Arabidopsis thaliana: one gene and its partner. The protein of the gene in region 1 interacts with the protein of each later gene in a biochemical or structural test. Each region holds a gene or a part of one and is shown on either strand. Other genes may lie near its edges.

Region 1 (7,750 bases):
GGACGGATCTGGTTGTTGTATATCTGTTTTGATCCCTGTTGTCGGCAAATAAGAATATAGAGAATATCAGAACTGATGAGTACCACGGGTTAAAGCTGCCTACTCGTTAGATGATGGTTTAAAGAGATTCCGATAGGTACCTCAACAGTTGGGAGTTGAAGCCAGACGAGGAACGCAAACTTCACATGATAGTACAGCGGGAACCTGCAAATAATCGAGGTTATTGAGTATCAATACTTTGCGAGTTTATCGAGATAATCAAGCCATTTCTCTCGATAAAGTCCATTAGAAGAAATATCTTATTTGTCTAACATAACAGCAAAACCATCAAGATATTGTATATAGTTTCAAGATGTCAATCATACCAGGAAATGATCTTGTCCGTGAACACTTCAACAAGGCTGAAAGAACCATAAGCTGCAAAGAAGGTGAAGATAGAGAAAAAACCCCATCAAATTCCATGTGAAAGAAGGCCAAGGGAGATTGAAAAAAAACTATTGAAGATAAACAGTCAAAGAATAAGGAAAGCAATTAGAAAGGTCATAACAATTGCAGTAACAATATCCCACCTGCCCAGTAAATAAGCATCTTTTGTTGTTCATTCTCATCTCCACTCTCAATTGCCTTGAAGGTAGAGTACACAGGCAAACCGATGCCAATGGAGCAGCTGCAGGAAACAAGTTTCAGACATACCACACAAACGTGTCCTTTATAACCGAATCCTTTAGTCAACTACAGCTATAACACCTTCTAATAGAGAAAATAACCAAAAACTCGGATAAAACAAAAAGAATCCAGATTCCCCAACAATAGATTGACCCTTGTCCAAAAGATACCCTAAAGTATCACAACAAGTAGAATAGAACCCTTGTCCACTCGGCTAAGTTAATAACTATGTCAACAAAAAAAAAAAAAAAAAAAAAAACTCCCTCCCTACCCCATTGCTTCACATGTAATGAGAATCACTCAATCAGATCACAATCTCACCAATCAAATCATTCCTCCAATTCATTCGTCTACCTGTACCATTGATTCTAGCAACTATATGGCTTTCTTCACCTTACAATAAAAAAAACTCACCATGCTGTACGAAGTACGATATTGGAACTAAGTGGAGAGAACAATACACGCAACCCAACCTGAAAATTCCATTGAGAAAAACAATTGTTTCTCTCAATCCAAAAGTTGAGAATATCCACATGATCAGGAATTGAAACACCTCTTTCTCTAATCGGCTTTTGTCAAAGAGTAATCCAAACAAAAAAACAATCCAGTACAGAAGAAATCTGAATTCCAACAAGGCAGAAGATGAAGGAATCCTAAATATACATATTTAATCATAAACTTTATCACGAATCCCCAAATCACGGATCGGAACAAAAGCCGTACAATCGGAAACATCAATCAAACTAAAGGAAGATTACCTCGCCGGTGAGTCCAGATCCAAGAAGCGCCATGGATGGAATCTGTGAAGCAAACCCGCTCATCGGCGATTCGTACGACGGTTTTACCAAATTGACGACGAACTCGCACACTCGCAAAAAAAAGGTCACTTGTGTTTTGAATAGAGGAGATTATGAATCATTAAAAGACTCTAGCTCATACAGAGACTCTTCGTAAGAAATATTTTTATTTCTTTATTTGAAAGATAAACAGCAAAAAGAAAAGAGATATTAAAGGCGGTAAATACAATTATTCTATTCTATATCATATTGTTAAACCAAACCCGGTTTATCTAAAACCGCCAAGCTGATGTGGCAACAAGTGCTCTTCCATGCCAGCACAGCACCAATTCTCCTTGTCGTTTCGCCACGTGGAATCCTCTAACTTGCGCTTTCTCCAATAAACACTCAGCTTGAAAGTCGGCGAACTGGCTTAGCTGTATCGGCCTCATCCCGGCGGCGCAAAACGCTTCCCGCCAAGTCATTTCGCCGGTGTGTCTCCTGTCAGCCGCCGTTTCTACCGCAGCGGAGATCTTCGGTCGTAGAACGAACGCTTCCACTATCTTCTTCACCAAATCTCCGGGAGGAGCTGCAGCGTCGAGCGACTCCAGCACCATCGTGTAGAACTCAAGAGCGCTAACAAACTCTCGCCGGAATGATCCAGATCCGGCGATCTCCGTCCATCCTTCACTATCCACGAATACAACGACCTTAGGTGATACTCTCCGTAAATTGTTAACAAAATCAGTGATTCCACTTAGACGACGAAATATCGCCGGGGAAATCAAAACGACGGTCCTCTCCCCCTCAACAAACCTAATCGCTTTGAAAGATAACATCTCAAAAGTCTTCATCAGCACAAACTCAATCTGGAAACGAATTTTCATCTCCGCCGCGAATTGAGTTAGGTTTTCTTTCACTAGTCGCGTCTCTACGGCGCACTCCTCCGCCACCACTGCCGTAACTCTTAAAAATCCACCGCTTACAGATTTCTCAGTGATTTCTCTCATAAGCGATGCGTATTGGCCACCGAATCCAATCTCAAAATCCACCACGTGAACAAACGGAGAAGACGACTGCGAGCTCAACGAATCGAGTATCGCTTGATTCGCCGTGAAATGAGAGAAGAGAGGGATCGGAGAAATCCCGGAATATTCCTTAATCGCTCGGATCCTCTGAACAATCTCGGACCAAGAAGATAACCGGATTGGATTCCGGTTTGATCCGGTTAAAAACGAACCGAGAGCTTCCTTAAAGTAAAACGCAGCTCTCTGTAACGGTCTACCCGCCGGAGATCTCAAGCGTTGATTAAGCCGTGATAAAACCACCTGAGCGAGTTGTAACTCGTCCGATTCAACACAATCCACGACTCGGATGAGATCTTCAATGAAATCAAATCCTCCATTGTCGACACTATCAAGAGAATTAAAACCGTACCCAGTTGTTTGGTTCTGACCAGGATAAACATCGGAAGACGATTCGAAATCCGACGGTTGAATCTGATCGGGAAAGCCAGGGAGATTTGAATCGACGGCGTAAAGAGGCAAAATAGTAGAATCTGTTGTGGTTGTGGTGAAACCGGTTTTAAGTGAGTTAGGAGCAGAATCGTCATCAAGCTCCAATTCTTTCATGATGGAATCCCAATCCATTGAACGCATGACATGTTCGTCCATTGATAAGTGATTACTATCAGTACTATTAGTGTTGTTGTTGTTGTTGGTCGTGTCTTGAGGAGATGATGCAGGGATTTTCATGTGTTGTGTGTTAAGAAGAAAGAAAGGTGGAGCCTTTAACGAAAAGAAAAAAAGTTTTTTTCTTTCTGTCTTTTTTCTTTGTGTGTGGGAGAAGAAGAAGGTGGCGGGGCTTTTGAAAGGTGAGAGTGGTAAGCTTTTTATCTTTGAGTGAGTGCGTGCAAATAAAGAGATTTCAACTTTGGTAACCGTGTCTGATCCGGGTTTGTTTGGTTTTACAGAATAATATTTATACACGAAACAATCTGATTGACAATGATTTGTATATGATTCCGTTTTTTATTAATAACATACTATTTCACATGAAATTCAACTGAAAGATTTTAAATCAGTTTTTATTTTGTATTAATTTCTCATAATATATCTCCAAAACTATATACTATGCACAACTAGCAACTTCTGTAGCTAATGAAAAGGAAACTTCTACAGCTCTTTAAAGGGATAAAATACAAATAAAGTTCCTCTGCTTTAAAAATAAAAATAAATCATTTGATTGAAAAGAGATCCAAGCTCCACTATGTTGATCATCAAGAATGTGAAAGTTGAAAATAAAAGAGAAAAAGGATGTTTTAAAAAGGTTAATGATTTCTCTCTTTTTTTTGTCTGAGTGGTTTTTTTTCAGTCTTTTTCATCCTAAAATTTTAAACAGTATTTTACAAAAACATTTAACTGAAAGTTTTTTTTTATTACATATGACAATTTAAGTGATCAAAAATAATCTTTCTCAAACATAGCAGCACGGCTATATGTAACTATGTTGTACCTGAGTTTGAGATCAGCGTTAAAATATTTCATATTTGTGGATATTGTTTTCGATCATTAAATCTCATACGTTTTTGACCCAAGTATGGAGATAAATAAAAAACTATGAATCTGCGTTGATTATTCCAATAGGCAATAGGTATATCAACGTTTGGAATTTTTTTTTAAAAGTAGTTTGTGTTGGACAAAAATATTCTTACTAAACAAACTCTACAACGTCGTTTTTATTCTCACTAAACCTAGTTGTTAGTACCACACAAAATACAATATTATGTATTTATTTAGTACCGTGCATATATCACATAATAATCTCAAACTAGTTACAAAAGCTAGAGAGGTTTATTCGATTGATAACCAATAAAAAAGGGGAAAATTGCATGAAACAATTTGAGTCGATGATGTTTAACGGACACTAATCCCCGCTGCTTGCGACAAAAAACAAAGGAAAGGAAAAAGGGAGTGACCACTGGGCTTTATGTGGAGCCCACATAACACGGTAAAAAGCAGGGGGAAAGTAAGCGGGTCCACAATGGGCTAACTTTTGAGGTAATAATGTCGGAGAAAATGACCGAGAAGCCCATGGGCCAGAGATTGACTGATCATTAAGTCAGCGCGTAAGAATCACGCCCACTTCTTTCTTTTGCTTAGCCCCCCACTCTTCTCTCTAACTCGCAAAGGAAAAAGAAAGAATATGTTCTCTCCTTCACTTATTGCTTTCATTTTCATGGAAATTTACCTTCCTTTTTTGTTTTCTTTCTTTTCTATTTGGTTTGGTGTACCAGAATGCAAAACCATTTCCTCAATCTTTTGAATATACTCTCTTTTTTTTTTCCTTGTGTAATTAGGAATGTTTGATCATATTAGGTTAATAACTCACCATTTTCGCAAAATATGGCCTAGTTTGCGAAATTTAAACATCATATAGTTCTCGTGAAGAAAAGCTTCTTCTCATTGAGACATTATTCAACCTTTAATATCGTGGAGAAAAGGTTCCTCTCATTAATACACCTTTTTCCTAACATAATTCAACTTTTTTTCTTACATAAGTCTTCATCTGTGTTATATAATTTAGATTTTATGCGGTATAGCGGCTCAATTAACACACTAAAATACTAAAAGTTCTTTTTGTGGCAACTTTTTTTAGTTGTTTCTCATTAAATTAATGATTAAGCCCACATTTCTGTTATGTTTTAAAAATTTAAGAGAAATAATCAAGTTTAATATTCCACCGTATGAACGCCTACATGCAATGGGATCCACTTGTATCCTAATCTCATGCTTAACAACTAGTTAGTTTATTTTCGAGGATCATACATAAAATACCATAATATTATAGTTTATATATGTGGAACATGCAAGAAAAATAATCAATGATTTATCGAACTGAAATCACTCGCCAAATTAGTTGCCTTTTTTTTGTTAGATTGAATTGCCAGTATTTTAAACAAATAATAAAATAATAATAATAATAATAAAATGCCAGTATTAGACCAATGTTTTCATTATGCTCAGAAATTATTTCGTCCACAGACCACCAAAATGTTACGTCTTGTTAGCTTGAAAATCATTACACTATCACTTTTGATTCTCGTTCATACAGCTAATTCCCTGAAAAAATGATGGCCCTATGTGTACAACTATTTTATTTAAATCCATCTGATATTGGGTAACGAACGTTTTAATTATATGCAATACAATTTATGAATGATAATTATTCTGCATATACACTAACGTCTCCAAATATGGCAATATCTTCCCTACACATGATTGGAGTTTGTCGAAAAAGAAAAGAATATTTCATAAATAATGTTGGTAATTAATACAAGTTCTATTTATTAACACACGTGATTGTATATTAAAAACAAATGAATGACGATCATATCTTATATTCCCACTCTGACAATATTCTTTTACTGATCGACCAATGGATCCTCTCGTTACCAAAATTGTCCCACTGCCAAAGGTTTCTTTCTTATTATTCGTTTCTGTGTTGGTAGTTTTATAATATGTATACCGTGATTTATACTAAGTATAATGTCTCATAAACTGTTTTTGATAAAGAAAATTTTAAGTTGTTGTGCTGACTGCTGAGAACCTGTGTAATAATATAATATCGCCAAAACATATTATTCAATTCTCATAAGTTGTTTTTAATTTGAAGGTTATGAATTTGTAAACTTTGTGTGTTTAGTATCCTGTGATTAAAATAAACCAAAATTAAAGACATGATTTGATTATCCAATCTTTTAGTTAACATGTCAAAATTCAACGTAAAATGGTGATATAGTGTTTTGTACAACTATCTGGTAGTAATATTTTTTCTTGATATAATAATTGTAATAAAATCTAAATTTTATAATAGAAAAAGAGACAGTTGTGTATTTTCTTGGGAGATAATTTCTCAAACCCCACTACACAAAAAGGTCATAATACTTAGGAAGTAAGGAAAGGAAGGAGAGGCCGATGATAGACTACACACAGACGCTTCTTCCTTCTAATCAAAAGAGAGAAGCTTCATCCTCACAAAAGCAATTTTTTTTAGTAGATTCCTATTTTATGTCATTCACAATAAATAAAATACTTAAATAGTAAAAATAAAAGATCGTTCTCCATTAAAATATCATTCCCACAAGAATGAAAAGTAGTAACGGAGAAATTGTTTTAACTTTTCATTGTTTATTTTTTTTTCTATAACTATCCGTATGCATACTACAAGAATTTAATCTAAATTTTGGATCGACTGATTGTAGCTATAAATTATTGAGTAAGTATTAAATTAGACCGTTGATATAAAAATATATAAGTATATATGTGTGTTATACTAAGTCGATCGATTGGTAAGTCTCGTAATGATTTAGTAAACATTATTCTATTTGGTGTAGATTTGTTTTTTTTTTTTTTTTTTTTTTGTCAAATGTAAATCATTTAATTTTAATTCAGTTACAATTTTCTAACTAAAATTTTGTTTATGTATTTTCGATACTGTGAATAAAGCTGGTGGTGTAAAAAATAATATTAGCGTAACATTAAATTTATAATTAAGTTAAACAAAAACATTAATATATAATGTACCGACAAAAATTGAAAGTGAAAATAAATGGAGGAGGATGTTCTATTTTGCAACTCATTGAGTAGTCACAACATGCGTTGGAAACTCTTCCCCGTCAAGAATATATTACTTTACACGTTTTTAAAATTATTAATTTACCCCCTTTTAATAATTGATTTTTAGTAAAATGATTGTTCGTGATAAAATATACTTTAAATTTTTGATGAATGGAATCATTCATTGTTTGATCGTTTACATTTAAAAAAAAAAAAATTATACGATCACATCTTTTTTTCTTATATATAGTTTTTAAGATCATATATATGATATATCATCACAACAAATTGATGTCTAGTACGTACCAACAAGTATGCTCTGTTACTTGTAAAGATGATAAAATGCTCTTAGAAACAAAACATTGTACTCTCAAAACAAAATATTTACCATCACTTGATACTGTCAAAACAATTCTTATATACTTAGTACTAGGTATTCGGCTAGCATCTCACTGATTCTAGAGGTCATCTATTTTCTCGAATAAAAAACAAATATAAACTCATCATAAAAAGGATAAATCTGAATTAATTCATTTGTACAAAGTATAGTCTTGGTCTAACAAAACGCAAATTCCCCTATATATGTCTTGCTTATGATGTTTAGGGACTTCACTAATCCATCTTAGCTATAAATAGAAACAATTTTTTATTATAAGTAAATAAGTATTTAGCATGATTGTAGAGCGTAAC
Region 2 (7,462 bases), on another chromosome or scaffold:
GTCTTTTGTCATTGTTCTAGCTTTTATTTGTAACCAATATAAATCTAATTTCCCAAAAATCAGAATTATACCCTACCGTGAAACATCGTTATTTCCGACAAAGACTCCACATTCCGAGAGGCATTTAATTTAGGACGACTCGAACATTTTAAAAAACCAAAAAAAACACATATTATGCTCCCATCATTTTTAATAATATCGTTCAGAAATGTTTATACAAATTTTAAGAAACTAATTATCATCTTATTAATTTACCTCTATAATTAATAGGAGTACAATAAAAACAATTGTGTGAAAATATGTATTAAAAATAAAAACCAACAGTCTTTGAAATTCAAAAATTAAAATATAAAAGGATATATAATCTCTTTGTTCCTCAAAGTTTGATGTTTTAGTGTTTTAGGGTTGTTTCACAAAGACTGATTTTTTAGATTTGTTTTTTCTTTTTTGCTAATTGATATCAATAAATGATAGATTTCAAGAGATGATAATTGCAAATAATTGTAGTTCCGTTATTTTGTTTCATAATATAAGATATTTAGGACAAGAAACTCAAGTTTTTATGTAAATAAATTTATATATTTTTGTGACTATTTATATTCCGCAATAAAATATTTTATTGGTCAAATTCTCTTTAACTAAATATTGAATTCTGTTTTTAATGTAGAAATAAAAATTAGTATCTTAAACTTTGTGTTTTTAGCCAAAATATTATATATATATATATATTGAGAAAAGGGAGTAACTGTTTTAAATTACTATTGGCTCATAGTTTATTAAAAATAATATCTAATAGAAAAAAATTATCAAACAATTAAATAATGATTGTTTCTTTCTATCTCACAAAAATGATTTTTTTTAGAAATTTTACATTCTTTAAGAAATAATGTATAATGACAATGTTAACTTCTTAATATATTATAAAATTAATAATAAATATTTATTTAATAAGGGTAAAATAGGTGAACAGTTCTTAAATTTACATTGGAAACATAAAATTTCTATTTTTATAGGACAAATTTTTTTTAATGGAAAATTCATCTTTGTGTGACGGAGGGAATATATGTGTAAACTCTAGAAAATCAATTTTCTAGGAATAGAAGGAGTACTACTTATTATGAGACCTAAGGAATATATGATATGTCCCACTTTTAGTTGTTTGGAGTCTCATTTTGTATGTTTTAATCATTTTATCATTTGGTTCATTTGGTTTTGGGAGCGGATTAAAACGTAGAAACTACGGTTTCACAAACAACTTATTTAATTTTAAGTAAAGAGAAAATAACTCCTTTTCTTGAAATCTTGATAAAAAAAACAATCAATTGCAATGGTTTATGTTCCTTGAATAAGAAGTTAGAGTTTGTTCAAAAACAAACAAAACCTAAGGCAAACCTTTGTTCGGTTCTCGATCAGTCGATTTATATGAATGGATTTCTATTCAACATATGTTCTCTTTTCTTATTTTTCGGCCTTGAATCTCTTATTTTTCTATTTTTTCGGGTCCTCAAGATTATCCACCTAGATGTGTCTCACTCTTTTCATTTCCCTATTGCAGGTCAACGACGTTTTATTTAAGCTTTTTCCCATAGACCGATTACCCATTTATCAGAATTACTTGGATTAATGGAATTATTCTCGATTTAAGTCGAATTTTTCGAAGGGTGCTACATATCTCATCAACAAACAATACAAATCAAAGGAAGGAAGAAGAGCTAAAGAGCTAAAAAAAAGATGAGGAGGAGATCGAAGTAAACAAATTGGAAGAAAAAGAGATCCAACAATGATTGGTTGTGAACATGTTATGCTAGTTTATTTCAAATTTTGAAACCCTAAACCTCAAACCATCAGTAATCTGTCATTACCGACATAGTATTACATATGGATCGAAAAATAAACATGTTAAATATGTGTCCTAAAAAAATACATATGAACAGTGGTAGAGGCAAGTGTAGTGGAGGAGGGTCACTGCATATGAATATCGACGATATAGTATGGGCCATAGATAATTGAAGAAATAACCATCTGATCACAGCTTGACACACGAATCAGGTTATCCATCGTGTGATGACATTTTTCAAAAAATATGAATGGTATTACCAGTTTCTTGTTATGCTTTGGGTTCAGTAAAGTTCCACTCATTTTCCAGTATCTGATGAATGATAGAGCAGTCTTTTTAGAACTTTGAGCTTTCATATTCCTTCCGTCCAACAAAGATGAATTTTCTATGGAAAAAAATTGTCCCACAAAGATACAAATTTTGTATTTTTAATATAAATTTTAAAATTGTTTACCTGTTTTATCCTAAGTAAATAAGTAGATAAATATTTTTTATTATTTTTAAAATATATTAAAAGGTTAAAATTGTCAGTATACATTATTTTTTAAAAATGTGAAATTTCTATAAAAAAATCCATCTTCATAGGATAAAGATGTTATTAATTTTAGCTATTAGTCATGATCAACCTACACTGGTACTTCTATATTTCCTCCATGATATCAATTTTTATGTTTTAACCAGTGATATGAACTGTGACTTTCCACCTTCATAACTTTGATATCCATATATATTAGTGTAAGTTTCGTACTGTACATATACTTGCATCATAACTGGATTAGCCGAGACTAAATAATTTTGACTATTCTTCACAGTTCATACTCAAGGTCTCTGTTCTTTGTAATTCTAGACTACATATCAAATAAAAAGATGATGATATATTAGTCAAAACTCAAAAGTAATTAGAAGAAAAAACTTTGTAATTCCGGAATATCATACGTTACTACTTTTCATTAGTAAAATACCCAAATTACTTGGGAAATTGAGGTTCTGCAGTTCCCGATGTACAAGAGAATAACAATACAATACACTGATCTAAAGTGAATGGGACGCTTGACATTGCCAAACCAAACCATGCTTTTGTATCAATATCTAATAAACATATAAGCTTAAATTTATAATGATGTATTATTATCAAAATAAACAATGATAATATAACATTAAGATATTTCTAGCCTTTTCTTTTCCGCATAAAAGTCTGTCCTGGCTCATTATAAACTACCACTAATTTAGGCAAAATCCGTATCTTAACAAAAGTAATAAAAGCAATTTCGAGTATTGGGATTGGAAGATACCTTTTCCCCTTATTCATTCTTCTTCTCATTCTTCTTTTCTCTAAATAAAGTAGTTGAGACTTGAGAGCCACCGAAAAGCATTCGACATCCTATCATTAAAGCTAACTTTTTTCAGTGTTTTATTTCTAAAATAATTTCTTAAAATAAAGAAAGGTGAGAGAGAAATTATGTCCCTATACAACTAGTAGAATGAAAGATTGTCAAGCTTTGGTTTGGGATTTTTCTAATAAATCACATGCATTTGTTAGAATTTGATCCCAAAAAAAAAAAATTCAAACCTTTTTCCTGTAAAAGCAAACCTATTGGCTCGTAGGTCAATGTCAATCTCAATGAATAGTAAAGTCTTTTGATATCACGTATCTATAACATATTATTTTTAGCGTGGTTCATGTCCCTCAACATTCTGCCTAAATTATAGGATCTCAAGACATAGTACTATAGACTACAACTACAAGTAGAGGAAAATTTTATAAGAGAGATAAATTATGCGGTATTCACGCATGACATGCGTAAGCATGAAACTAAAATTTGGTTGATACATTACTATGCCGAATTTAAAGTAGTGCTCCATGCAGACATGAACATATCAGATATCACACGTACGCATGTATTACGTGTATGTAGAGACACACGTACGCATATCTATATTCACACAATGAGATTTCACTTTCTCAAACAAAGATCACTGTCTTCAATTAGTTTCAAATTTGTTCTTTACCTATTGCTTTTACATTTCTGAGTGTATATATTTACAATAAGGACAAGGAGATTTTAAATGATAAAAGTCAACCATATCCCATCATTTGGTCTTTGGTTTCCCGACGTCCCACTTTTGTAAAAATCATCTGTTCATTTTCCATTCTTTTTCTTTTTCCTACCCAACTGGATATCACCAATGATATCATTATACACTAACACTATCATTTCACACTTATCTTCCTCTATATATACATAGCTTAAGTCTTGTAACGAGAAAGGCATGCATAGCATTTGCTAGTTTTAACATATAGCAATGAAGGTTCATGAGTTTTCGAATGGGTTTTCTTCATCGTGGGATCAACATGACTCGACATCATCCCTTAGCCTAAGCTGCAAACGCCTCCGTCCTCTCGCCCCTAAGCTCTCCGGCAGCCCTCCCTCCCCTCCTTCTTCTTCCTCCGGCGTCACTTCAGCCACTTTTGACCTTAAAAACTTCATTAGACCCGATCAAACCGGTCCGACAAAATTTGAACACAAACGAGACCCTCCTCATCAAGTCAGTTCCATTATTGTACTTCGTACATTTTACATCGTTTCTTTCGTTTGAAAAAAGAAGAAGAATTCACTCTAGAAGAATTTTGATAATTGCGGCATACCTAATACTTTGACATTTATAAATTATAACGACTGGAGTGGTTCCTTTTATTATTAATTTTATTTATTTATTTTAATGTATGATTCCTAACAAATGTAATGAAATAATGTGTGGGTTCAGTTGGAGACGCACCCGGGAGGGACAAGGTGGAACCCGACTCAAGAACAGATAGGGATACTTGAGATGTTGTACAAAGGTGGAATGCGTACTCCTAATGCTCAACAGATTGAGCATATCACATTGCAACTCGGTAAGTACGGGAAAATCGAAGGGAAAAATGTGTTCTATTGGTTCCAGAACCACAAAGCCCGCGAGAGACAGAAGCAGAAGAGGAACAACCTCATCAGCCTAAGTTGCCAAAGCAGCTTCACGACCACTGGTGTCTTTAATCCGAGTGTAACTATGAAGACAAGAACATCATCGTCACTAGACATTATGGTAGGAATTTAAGGATTTTGTATAGTTTTGTGGTTTTGATCAACTATATTTAAGGATAATTTTTATGATTGTGTAGAGAGAACCAATGGTGGAGAAGGAGGAGTTAGTGGAAGAGAATGAGTACAAGAGGACATGTAGGAGCTGGGGATTTGAGAACTTGGAGATAGAGAACAGGAGAAACAAAAATAGTAGTACTATGGCAACTACTTTTAATAAAATCATTGACAATGTAACCCTCGAGCTTTTTCCTCTCCATCCTGAAGGGAGATGAAGTCATGAAGGTGAGGCAGAAAATTGTGGAATTCTTATGTAGATCTGGTTTAGGTTCAGAGGAATCAATTGGTATCTAGAAATTCAAAATAAAAATAAAAATAGGAATAAGTCTCTAAAACTACAAAATCTACTTAAGAATTCCCTTATTAATCTGCGAGTTTGATGTATCCTATGTAGATTATTTTTGCGATGTAATCTTAATTATGAATGCTCAGTTTAGCTCATCTTTTTTTCGCGTTTATTCTTGACAAATTCACTAGTGATCAGTTGTACTCTCTTCTGATTTGGCCATCTAAGTATTTCTCTAGATCGTTGGTATGTAGGAATGTTTCATTTAGAGAAATTTCTGAATAAAGACACATTTGATGTTGTTAAAATAATATCTCTGTCTTAATTCCTACGTACGTACAAGAGCAAGAAGTTAAAAGGAAATAATAATAGCATTTCCCGTTGAAAAGGGGGTAGACCTAGTATATTTCTATATAAACAAACATTGAAATCTAAAACTTTTTGTACTGTTATATACTTATATTAAAACTCTTAGTAAAACAGGTGACTCAATAATATTTATATTAATTTTTTATTTTTGATAAATATATACTAAATAAGTTTATGAGATGATAACAAGAAGAATCTTTTCAAGAATTTGATATTTCCAATGGAATGTGTACAAAGACATCAATATATGTAAGCTGTGGTGTGTATGTGGTTAGTTGTTTGTCTGATGCTTTATTGACTCTCGCAAGTGGTTGTTTTGTATTTTGGTTGAAACAAAGAGAGAGTTTTGCTTTTTAGGTTAAAAGTTGAAATGGCATTATATGAGACACACTCACTGAAGTCCATGCACTCGCTTTCCCGCTACATTGCATGCTAGCTAGCTGTTTCTATACATACGCAGATATATGTAGCTCTTCTATATTTTCGCACTTAATTATTGTAAGTGACATTCTTCTTTTCATTTTGGTTATATGCCGATAATTTTGTTTTATTTTCTGATAGCTAACTTCTACTTGGTTGTTAATTATATACCAATTTTCCTTCTTTTTTTCTTTTAAATGTTGATGCAACGTAAAACAAAACTGTATATTTCTACAGTGATTTTAAATAAACGCTAAACTTAAAATAATCTTTTTTGGTAAAGGGTTTAAGATAAATTATAACTTTGTTGGACATCAATTAAACATATATAGAAGTACTCTAAGTTTCTTTATGTTTAGATTATGATTTCTAATTGAAACAAACACATTTCCAGCTAAGTTTATCTTTAATAACCAAACTACCTAATATTTTAAGTCTATCTTTACCGGTAATCATATTCTCAAATGATTATTTGCCATGCATTATGAATTGGTTGCCCGTGGGCGTGGGGCATGGCGTTCCATTACTTATAATCTTGGAGGGAAGCAAGATTGAAATTTAGAAATAAAGAACTTTATTCAATTGGTAATGGGACCATGACTATTTTTTCAATAATTCAATGTTTCTTGGTTTTCACGTGTACATATATATAAGTCCAAAATAATTTCAAACACATAGTATTCAAATAGTATTAGGCCTATCGAAACCGGTTTTGGCCAGGCCGGTCAGCTTGCTACATGTATGGGTTAGCAAACAACGGGCTTCGTGGGCTCTACGACGGCAATGTGTTGGAATTGTATCCTTGATTGAATCTGAAAAAGAAGAAGAAGAATCCATGAGAAGAAGAAGATGAAGAACAGAGGAAGAAGAAGATGATGTCGTGAAGAGAAGAGTCAAAGGAAGAGAAGAAAGTCAACAAACATATGGGCTTTGTGTTTTGTAATATGGTTGTAATGGGCTGAAGATGAATTAGGCCCAAGTATGTTTAGTTAAAGAGTGTTGTGTTGTAAGTCTAAGTTAGAGTAGAAGAGTGAATCAAGGAGTGAGAGTTCCAATGTATGTAGAAGTAGGTCTTGTGTAAGAGCCATCATTAGGTCTAAGTGCAAGTGTGCAAGTGTGTGTGTGTCTCAAGTAGAAGTAGTTTATGTATGTGTGTCCTTGTGTTGTGTAAGAGTAACCAAGTAATTAACAATGTAGTCTTTGGAGGAAAACGCTTTTGTGTCTCTCTAGAACAAAGAATAAAATCTGTGTGAGAGACAAGAGAGCAAGAGATCTAACTAAAGTGGTTAGATATGTGAGAATTACAACACAATGTCATATATGTATACATCAGAATATTAAACCTACAAAACAAAAGTAGCTCTGGAAATCTCAATAATGTAGTCTCTTAGAAGGATCCACAAAGGCCAC

The links.
Region 2: the proteins of HAM4 (region 1) and WOX4 form a complex in vitro, tested with the Arabidopsis thaliana proteins (one study listed by BioGRID).

What each region holds. Positions count from the first base shown.
Region 1 is NC_003075.7:17,301,506-17,309,255, reverse strand, and holds HAM4 (GRAS family transcription factor), read right to left. Parts: upstream 3,499-7,750; 5' UTR 3,197-3,498; coding exon 1,736-3,196; 3' UTR 1,608-1,735; downstream 1-1,607. Other genes in the region: HVA22K (HVA22-like protein K), read right to left, coding at 1-35, 141-204, 366-417, 570-667, 1,081-1,139, 1,425-1,487.
Region 2 is NC_003070.9:17,234,633-17,242,094, reverse strand, and holds WOX4 (WUSCHEL related homeobox 4), read left to right. Parts: upstream 1-3,909; 5' UTR 3,910-4,141; coding exon 4,142-4,384; intron 4,385-4,603; coding exon 4,604-4,921; coding exon of another isoform or gene 4,922-4,933; exon of another isoform or gene 4,934-4,997; coding exon 4,998-5,192; 3' UTR 5,193-5,571; downstream 5,572-7,462. UniProt on the Arabidopsis thaliana protein: Promotes differentiation and/or maintenance of the vascular procambium, the initial cells of the developing vasculature.